Nothobranchius furzeri: one gene and its partner. The protein of the gene in region 1 binds, or shares a complex with, the protein of each later gene. Links are inferred from orthologs where the notes say so. Each region holds a gene or a part of one and is shown in the gene's direction. Other genes may lie near its edges.

Evidence for each region.
Region 2: lamtor1 (region 1) and lamtor2 share a complex: the UniProt entries of both Homo sapiens proteins name them as parts of the ragulator complex. The link is inferred for Nothobranchius furzeri from reciprocal best matches to the Homo sapiens genes LAMTOR1 and LAMTOR2.

What each region holds. Positions count from the first base shown.
Region 1 is NC_091753.1:34,139,433-34,144,791, forward strand, and holds lamtor1 (ragulator complex protein LAMTOR1), read left to right. Parts: upstream 1-1,828; 5' UTR 1,829-2,005; coding exon 2,006-2,047; intron 2,048-3,585; coding exon 3,586-3,731; intron 3,732-3,998; coding exon 3,999-4,076; intron 4,077-4,517; coding exon 4,518-4,641; intron 4,642-4,720; coding exon 4,721-4,813; 3' UTR 4,814-5,178; downstream 5,179-5,359. UniProt on the Homo sapiens protein: Key component of the Ragulator complex, a multiprotein complex involved in amino acid sensing and activation of mTORC1, a signaling complex promoting cell growth in response to growth factors, energy levels, and amino acids.
Region 2 is NC_091745.1:61,225,140-61,230,057, reverse strand, and holds lamtor2 (ragulator complex protein LAMTOR2), read left to right. Parts: upstream 1-1,993; 5' UTR 1,994-2,210; coding exon 2,211-2,278; intron 2,279-2,740; coding exon 2,741-2,903; intron 2,904-2,988; coding exon 2,989-3,078; intron 3,079-3,640; coding exon 3,641-3,697; 3' UTR 3,698-4,139; downstream 4,140-4,918. UniProt on the Homo sapiens protein: As part of the Ragulator complex it is involved in amino acid sensing and activation of mTORC1, a signaling complex promoting cell growth in response to growth factors, energy levels, and amino acids.

The sequences.
Region 1 (5,359 bases):
AATGTCATATCTTTTTAATGCTTGCAGTGATGCGTTCATGAACCTGAAACAAAAAAGAAAAACAAACAAAGCAGACTTTTAAGTTTCAGTTTGGCCAGTCCTCCACAAGCCAGATATGTTTAAAGATCTGCCGATTCCAATCACCACGCGCCAATTTTTCAGTTTCTTCTTTAAAGTCGTTAGCTCAGATTTTTGTGTGTTTATTGCTTTGCTTATAGTTTCTTATGCATGTATCCTGAACATAATGTATAAACTACTGTATAAAACGATTGTATAAATAGTTGTTTCTAAATAAACGCAGATTAATTTGACAGCTTTTGAAACTATCACTCATTAATGTGCTGTTTTTTGCCCTTAAAGAATTTAAAATATTGTAAATCAAACACTGACAACAAAAACAACTTAAAGTTATTTAAAATTTAAACTGTTGAAACACAAAGTTAAATGCAAAGCTGTAAATGTGCTTGCATTTAAATTGATGCATTATTTGAAAAATAGGAAAACCAAAATTTTTGATGAGTTGTGCTGTCATCTGAAAACATTGACTGAAATAAACTGGAACTGGTTTGTTACACTGTTTTTATTATGCACTCAGTCAAAGGCATCTGAGACCCTTTCATCTTTCTCAGAGAAGCTGCCACTTGTTCACCAACATGCCTCATCCTGTTTCTGTCTCTTGTTCATCCTGCACAGCAAGCTTGGGAAAAGTTTTGATCAAACACTTGATGTTTTTAGATTGACAAAAAGGAAAGAGGCAATCTCATTATCTTACACAATAATCAGTTATTTAACATGGATACCCTTCTCTAAAACAACATTTTAAAGCTAAAAAACAGTTATTCTTGAACTTTAGTGGCACATTTCCCATCTGAAACAGCTGCTGGCATGAGAGAAAAAGGAGATGCAACAACTCCCATGAAGGTTGTAAATGTTAAAACTGCATCCACATAAAAGGAAGGAGCAAAGGTTCCCAGTAGAACAGTACCTGTGCTGACTTGCTTTATTTTCTAACTCTGTCCAACTTACACAAACCAATGTCCTATAAAAAAAAATCAGATTCCCATTTGCCCTTGGTCTGGGTTTGAGTCTCTGCCTATAGATGCCTGCATGGATAATCTGGTTTAACAAAAGGATGGATGAACATTTTGTGGACCGTTGAGACAAAAGTGAAACGTTTTGTAAGATTTGTGACTCATCTTGTGGGAAACTAACAGTGAGTTTCAGAAAAAGATCATCATACAAACGGTACCTGGCCCATGGAGAATGTCTGAACTTTTAATTTAAACATGCCAAAAACATTTAAAATGAATTGTAGACTTAAACTTCTCCACACCAATGTGAGAGACTTATGTGCAGTTATTGGAAATGCTTGCATGCTCTTGATGTCTCACAAAGTTTTACAACTATAATTTTAGGGAGTAATTTTTCCCCTGGACTGATTTGGATATAGACTTTTTCCCATCATTTGAAAACAGACTTTTATTTACTTGGGTTATTTTCTCCCCGTATTTATTTATTTTTTGCTAACATGAAACATTTAACTGTGGCAAAAACGCAAAATGCTGTATTCTGCTTGTATTTCATTTGTTCTCTTATTTTGTAAATGAACTTTGTTCAATAAAGTTATTGAAAAAAGCAAATCCTGTTTTGGGAGCCCCTATGACTGGAACATTTATGCTTTTTTTAATTATCAGTCACCATTTTTAGTTCTGCCGAGGTTTCTGATAAGAACGTTCAACATTTCTGCCCTCACGTGTCCTGGGACGTCGCTGCTTCTCAAATACCGGAAGTAGTTGTTGTGTTGTTGTTGCACCACAGCTGCTGTCATGTGATAGCCTCACTCAGAAGCTGCTGTGGACAGTAGATTCCTACTTTTGTATGGGGCCGTAGTAACAACAGTAAGAAACAAACAAAGCTTTATGTTTGCAGGGGAAGAAGAGCTCTGCTCGTTTCTGAAGGAGCGCAGGGAAGCCGGGGTAGTTTAGTTTCAGCCTTGGACGTTGCCATGGGTTGCTGTTACAGTGGCGAGGACGACAACTCCAGGGAGGTAGGTAGCTAGCTAGCTGGCGGCTAAAGCTAAAACAGTTAACTTCATTCGTTTATTCAAACACTAAATAAGTTCTGCTGGCTAGGTGTCTTGACAGTGTTTAGTGAATGAGCCATTTCATGTTCACACATAACTCGTTTGTTGTCCGTAACATTAAACAGGAAGCGTCAGCTTGCTAAGGCCTGGGCTAAAGGCAGCCCTTTGAGTTAGCGCAGGTCAGAAACAGTTCAGAATAAACTGTCCTGAGGGCAAAAATCAAGTGTTTAGTAAAGCTGCGAGCACATCATTTTCTGCTATTGTCCTGTTTAGTGGGGCATGAGGATTTATAGCCTCCCAAAGGTCCTGCTAATCAGGAATAGACTGATTTCTTCTCTACTTATTGGCTAAATAATCAATTGTGACCCGTGTGTCAAGGAGCTAAATAACTGAACATCATGTGGATGTGCGTGGTGTCATATGGCTGCTGTAAATATCCCAGTTTTATTTTAGTTTAGGGAAATAAACCAGTTTGTCTTCATCCTTCCTCATAATCAGTTTCTCTTTAAGTAGATTAATACATTTCATCTTAGGGTTAGGGTACAACCTGGGTACAACCAGTCTATTTAACCTATGTTAGTCTGAAAATATACATTTTTCTTTACAGTTTCAGATAAATGTAAATTTTAAGGCAGAATGACTTTGATATATTTAAGATTGTATATAATCAGCTCTCTGTTTCTGAACAAAGGAAAATTAAAGGTCTGGAACACTGAAAAACCTTTTAATGATCATTTCTGATTATAACTGACCACTCTTGAGTTTTTTATTCAGGCAGAACATGAACATAGTCTCCTACACCTATCTCCAGCATTAGCTTCTGATAGAAGACAGACGATGAAACGCTAGGATTAGAAAATCCTGACAGATTTACGTCACACTGTCACTTAACATTCATGGACTCACCCATCATGACTCACAGGGAAGGCTGTTGTTGGTCTATCATCCAGGAAACAACAGTGTGTCTCGGCTAGTAGAAGCTAACCATTACTATTAGCATTAGCAACTCTACCACATGGCAGAACTCTATCAGGCTTGTGTTATCTGAGACAAGGTTTCCAAATATCAGGACGTAAGAGTATAGCTCCTGTCATTTGAAGTTCTCCTCTAATGTGACAATATTCTAGTTCCTGAAACAGGTGCACTGGAGCTTTTTTTCCTCCAGAGTACAACTTGCAAGGCATTCATTCCTATTAGACACCACTGTAAATCTACTTATTAAATGAGTGTCCCCCACCTTTATACATTTCTGTCATTGTTTATAACATGTAATCGTAAAGAAGTTGGACGGACATTTGTATAATGCATGAAAGTTGTTTTAAACAAACTTTGATTAATTCTTCTTCTACATATATTTTGTGTAACGTTTACTCCTTCTCCCCAGAAAACATATCTAATAACTAATCGTTTAATCTCATAGTCTCTTGTTTGTTTTATTAAACGTATAATTTGCTAAAACTACCTGATCACATTATTTCTATTTTATTCCAACTCTGCTCTAGAAGAACAGTGAAACGGAGTCACTAATACCCCATCCGAACCCTGTCAACAAACCTCCAAATGGGACCGACTGGATCACTCCCAGTGTTCCCTCTGCACAGGCAACTGAGCAGGCTATCCTTACATCCATCCTCACGAAGGCCGCACAGTAAGACGCTTCCACTGATGAGTCTAAACACAACATATTTACCATCCAAAGAAACTTTATCAATGACTTTTAGATCATGTGAAATAACATTTGTGTAATTGAACTAGAAGGTATTAGTCATGCACCTCCAGGTTACTAGTGCAGCACTACACGGATGTTGGGACTATAACCGATGATGTGTGACTGCATCGTACTACAGCATCCGTTAAGAGTGTTGGAATAGAGAATAATCATAATATAACTAACGTTGTTTTTCTTGTCTTCCAGGAATATCATTGATGTCTCTGCAACGGAATCAGTGGTTATGGAGCAGCGTGAATACATGGACAAAGCTAGACAATACAGGCATGTAGACGAGTAGATGTTTGTTATAGACTGATACTTTATTTTTGATGGGAGGTTCTACTTTTATTCTTCTGGAACTAGTTGACCTGAAAGAGTTGTTGATGAGACTGAATCTGAAGTTTATTTGGGCTTTAATTAAAAATGTTTTATTAAAGTCATTCAGGAAATGAACAACGTAAAACTGTCTTTTTGGAGGCCATACAGCTGGGGAAGAAGAAAACTGCTGACATGAAATAAGGAATTTCAACACCAGACCTCAAAATTACAATAAGGCCGGCCTTGCCTCCTCCTTTTTAGTGACCTCTAGTGGGCATCTAATTATATTGCATCTAAAAACGTACTTGTGAATAAACAGCCGTTCAGTTCATGGAAAACATTTGTTTTTGAGTCATTTTAACTCAAATTAATTGCAAGTTTGTTTTTGATTGGGTTTTTTTATAGTTCAAAGTTGGCTGTGTTGAGCACCAACCTGCCCCCAAAGAAAGCAGACACTCTTCCCTCTCTAACTAGCCAGCCCCACCAAGTTCTTGCAAGTGACCTGGTGCCATATTCAGATGTTCAGCAGGTAAATCACACACAGATCACATTCTTAACATGATGAAATCTTTAGCACACCAACAGTAACTGTTCTTTCTCCTTCGCAGGTGTCTAAGATAGCGGCTTATGCTTACAGTGCAATCTCTCAAATCAAAGTGGATGCTAAAGAGGAACTGGTGGTCCAGTTTGCCATTCCCTGATTCTGAGACTCTGAACCTGCATATCGTTGCTCCCATCCTTCTCTCTCTCCCTTCTGTCACTCACTCACTCTGTCAGTCACTCCAGCGTCATCATCCTTCAGCCCACGTTTTATTAAAAGCTATTGATCCTTGTTAGATGTGACTCTTAAAGACTGACTGTGCATAATTTCACTCTGTACTTAAGTGAAATTATTAAAGGACACTGGTGCTTGTCAGTCATCATTTGAGAAACCGAGGATGGACATGGTTGTATTCTTCATCAAGAACACCACTGTGTGTGAATCATGGCTCAGTTAAGCTAGGCGTGGGAAAAATTGAAAAGATTTATTCCTCTTTGATTTTTTAATAAATAGGATTTTCACGGCCTTTCTGTTCAACCTCAAGGTTTAACTTCACACCATGGCAGAATCACCTGTAACAGAGCCACAGTGAGAAACTCGACTCGTGGTTTATTCACTGAAACCTCACAGGTTCAACTTTAATTGTGTTCATTTTGTCCACCACAACTTAAGAGGTCGCTATAATTTAGCAGGTTGTAGCTGAGTC
Region 2 (4,918 bases), on another chromosome or scaffold:
TCCGACTTGACGCCTACTTGCTCTGATATCATGCATACGTAGGCAACGATAACCTTGTTAGATCAAGGCGGCGCGCAGATTTTGGAGCAAGGCGCTGCAGTTGCTCTCCCTCGGCTGCAAAACCTAGTGGATGACGAGAAACGCCTGGCTCTCACCCGATCTAAGATCTGATTGGTTCATATTTTGATCCAAACATCTGGTGGTAGAACATGAAATGTTAGTAGGTCACATGTATTCTGTAAATCATGTTATGTTGATGATGACAACTATATAGGCCTTAAAGAGAAATGTGATTTGTGTTCTTTTTGTCACGTTTCCTATGAGCACACTAAACCTACAGCTGATAACCTTTACTTATTATCAGTGTTGGGAGTAACGCCGTTTAAGTATAACGGCGTTTTTAACGGCGTTCTTTTATAGGTAACGGAATAATCTAATTAATTACTTTTCCTGCCGTTGCAACGCCGTTACCGTTACTGGGGACGGAAGGTAGTGAGTTACCATGTGCTTGTCGAACGTTGAGCAGCAGCGTGAGGCTTTCTGACCGCCACACTTCAGCTGCAGCCTGGGAGAGAGAGGTGTCGGTAACGCACTTACAAACACGGTGATGACTGGCCGGGTGGGCGGAGACCCTCACTGTCTCAGTCGCTGCATTCTGTAGACACAACGGGAATAACTCCGTTTAAAATAACCACGTTAATAAAAATATTTCTTTCTGTAACGAGCAAACTAATTAATTACCGTCTTCTTTTATCAAAACATCGTTTCTGTTACTGATAAGAAAATGCGTGCGTGAAGCAGCGCGGTGTGTTGAAGCTGTTATCATCAGCTGATCAGGAGCTAAAGAGGTAGATGTTTTCATCCAAGTGCGTCACGGCCCGTGAAGAACGAGGAACACGTGATGAATATCTACGGCTGCAGGTGCGGGTCTGCAGCCGTGCCCTTCTTAGCGTGACAGCGGGACGTCCCGAAGGTCCGCTCAGACGTCCTGATCTTCTACCTTCCTAGATCATCCAGCTGTAACCTGTTTCTGATCATGTCTTTAGTCCCGCTGTAACACTGATGCATCAGTCTCAGACGTCATGGAGCTCAGGTGTTATCAGAACTGTGTGTGTTCACCACCCAGCTTCAGCTCTTCTGTGGTTGGGTCTGACCCAAGTTAGTAAATGTAAGTCCTCCATCAGATCTGTGCCTCTTCTAGTGTCATTTTAAAGGATATTTATTTATTTATTTAACCGTTACTAGATTAGCAGCAACAGAAATGCTGCTAAAAACACACAATTATGTGAAGCTGGAAAAATTAGAATACTGTGCAAAATTACATTTATTTCTGTAATTTAACTAGACTGAGAGACCATTTAAAGGCTCGGGAACCTTTACAGGTGTTTCTATTTGCAATTTTAAATTTTAGCTGATTGGGGTCTTGTTAAATATCACACAGTGACCTTTTAATAGTCTAGATTAGTGTAATGTTCCTATTAGTAGTTCCTCCTGTTAAGTGCATATTTGTTTAAATTATTCAGGTTTATATAAAACATTTGGACATACATTTTATTATGTTCAGTCATTAGTCATTTATATTTTACTATTGTAGTAATTCTTGCATTCTTTAATGAAAAAAGTAACTAAGTAGTTACTTTTGTTGGTAATTAGTTACTTTTATGATCTTGTAACTCAGTTAGTAACTGAGTTACTTTTTTGACAAAGTAATCAGTAACTATAACTAATTACTTTTTTAAAGTAACGTTCCCAACACTGCTTATTATTACAATCATGTCTTCATATACAATACATGATATCCACAAGCACGTGAGGATGTGTTTCAGCTGCTAACAGGCACCAGAATTAAAATTGAAAATTAAACAAGTAACTCTAACGCGATATCTTCAGCCATCCTACACATGCAGGAAATTGTGTCCGACCTAAACGCCGGCTTTCAGCCACTCCCCCTGCTGCTTCCGTCTGCTCTCGTCTGTTTTCCAGGCGAGGCCATCAACTCGAGCACGGCCAATGAAAATCCTTTTTAGTTACGACCGCGAGACAACATTTCCCAAAGTGCAATGCGAAGGAAGCCGGAAATGCGGAAAGACAAGTCAGCTGACTGCCTGGACGCATTGCTCTTCACGTACATCAACATACTATCAAAATACTTCGTGTTTTTTTCTTATTATTATTAAAACCGTTTTTATTCTTTGGTGAGGTCGACAGCGATGTTGCGACCCAAAGCTCTGACGCAGGTCCTCAGCCAAGCGAACACAAACGGAGTCCAGAGCACTCTGTAAGTACGAGTTAGCGACAAGCTAACGAGATGCTAAGATGCTATTTACTCTGACTCTTAGCTGCTTATCGTTTTTTGTACAAGGAAAGCTCGCCCAAAGAAAAATAAGCGTTGTTTTTTGGGAACTCTTAATGCTTAAAAGACATAATTTTAGTTATTTGAATGTAAAACTTGCGCATTTAATGATTTTTATCGTAGCTGTTTTTATAATGTCACAGATTAGAACGCTGTTGCAACAGATCCTAACAAATACCTCGGTTTATAATGATCAATTTCAATGAGATGATTTATAAAATATTTCTAATTTACACATTAGTGTCTAAAATAGTCAACCTTTCTAAATGTTAATTGTATGATGAGGCATTAGCTGCACCATCTAAACATACATCAAGATTATTTCTAACAACACAGATAACTTATGAGTAGGCTGTCTTAGTATGTGTCACGTGTTTATCCTCTCAGCTTGCTGAATAATGAAGGTTCCCTCCTGGCTTACTCTGGTTATGGAGATACCGATGCACGCGTAACAGCTGCCATCGCCAGCAACATCTGGGCAGCTTACGACAAGAATGGCCACCAAGCCTTCAACGAAGACAAGCTTACCTTCATCCTCATGGACTGTATGGTGAGAAACACAGCTCCGATTCAGGCTAAAACATTAGGCTGACCTCAAATTGTAACCTTCTTCTGTGTATTTGTTTTTTTTTAAGGAGGGAAGAGTGGCCATCACTCGTGTAGCCAACCTGCTGCTGTGCATATATGCCAAAGAGACTGTGGGATTCGGGATGCTGAAAGCCAAGGTGAGAGTTCGGGGCCTTTTCTTCTAATTGTTTCCCACGTTTTGCTTTTTATTGGTAAAGATTTTATGTGTTGGAGCTCTTCTGTCAATTGAGTTTAAAGCATTATTTTACAACAGTTGTTTGGATGGCAAAGAAAACTGCTTTTAACTTTGCTTTTAACCCTTTCAACACTTTCTATTGACATATTCTGTTCACATATATTAAACGTAAGTCTTAACTAAAACGTTTTATACTTAAAGGGCTAAAATGTAAGGGCAGATCATTAAATAAACCATTGAATGTGCAAATCATTTGAAACTAATCATTTAAACACAGATTAAACCACTTTTAGTATTTCTGAGGAATGTGCTGAGTGGTTCTAGACTTCTGTTCCACTGTTTAAAACAGGAAGTCCTTTAGAGTGACCCAGGGAGGCACGTGGATGAGGTTCATCAGGTTTGTCCAGCTAGAGCAGCTCATGGAGAACCCAGCTAAATCTGAACTGAGGCTGAAGTTTCTGATCAGTTTAAAGGTCGTACCAGATTTAATCTTTTCCAGTAATTGTGCTTTATTGTGTTTGTAGGCAGAGGCTCTGGTTCAGTATCTGGAGGAACCGTTGACTCAAGTGGCCGCATCGTAGTGAAGATCCGACCAACGCTTCTGTTGGTCTGAACTGAAGAAGAAATCAGCTGTTCAGGTCATCGGTGGACTGCTGTAACCCTCCTGTCCAACACTAAGTGTACAAAGGGCCATGTCTCTAAATGGAGGGGTGTGTGTGTGTGTGTGTGTGTGTGTGTGTGTGTGTGTGTGTGTGTGTGTGTGTGTGTGTGTGTGTGTGTGTGTGTGTGTGTGTGTGTGTGTACAGCTGAAATGTGATTCCATTTTCAGTTTTCACTTGGAATCGGTCCATTCGGTCATAGTTTTGTTGTTCAATGTGAAACTGAACATTTTTAGGAGTCACAGATGTACATCATGATAAAAACGTGTGTGGAGATTTTATATGAATCTTTCTGAAAAATGCAGTTGAGATTGTTATTTACTTGTGTTTTATGTCAAGGTTGTTTGATAAATGAGAGATACTGGCTCAGAGTCACCCATTCTTTTAAATCCTGCTTTGAGCTGGTGACGGTTGGGTGTGTTTCACCCTCGTATACACCTCTGAACGTTTTTAAACAATTTTAAATATGCAGTATCAGGTGAGATAAACTTAAATTTGCTCTGAAAATCTTGTGAAAGGGAGAATTTGCGGGTTTAGAGAAGCTTACCTTGCTTGTCTTTGAGTTTCATCACCAGATAATTTTATTTCTTTCAGTAATCACAGATTTCACAAAAATCTGATGAAACTTTTCACTCTTTCAGTATCCAATACTTTAAAAACAAAACCTTTTTTAATAAGTCAGAAGATCTGGGTAACTTAAAAGCTAAGAAAACTCACGAGTGCATGTGCATTCTGTTTAACTCCATTTAATCAACTAATGAGTTTTAATTGATACCAGTTAGTGATTTTCTCTTGAGGCATTAGCATCAAATATACTTTCTCACCTGCAGCCAGATAAAGAAAGTCTCAGCTTTCAAAATAAAAATTTTAATCACCCAAACCTGGAGTTAAATGCCTATACAGTTTTGCAATAATCAAGTTGATTTTAAGTACCCTGAATAAAATAACATTATTACAAAATCTTTAAAAACACTGTTTTAATGCCCCCGGTTCTGTTTCAGGCAGGTTATATTTCACGTTCTGTTTGGCTTTTCTTTGTTCTCTGCAGAAGGAAAAATCCAAGTCAGCTAAATAAAAAGAAATGGAGAGAAAAGGTTGGGCAGCAGGCGAGCGAAAGATGGTGCTTCAATGTAAAACAAAAAT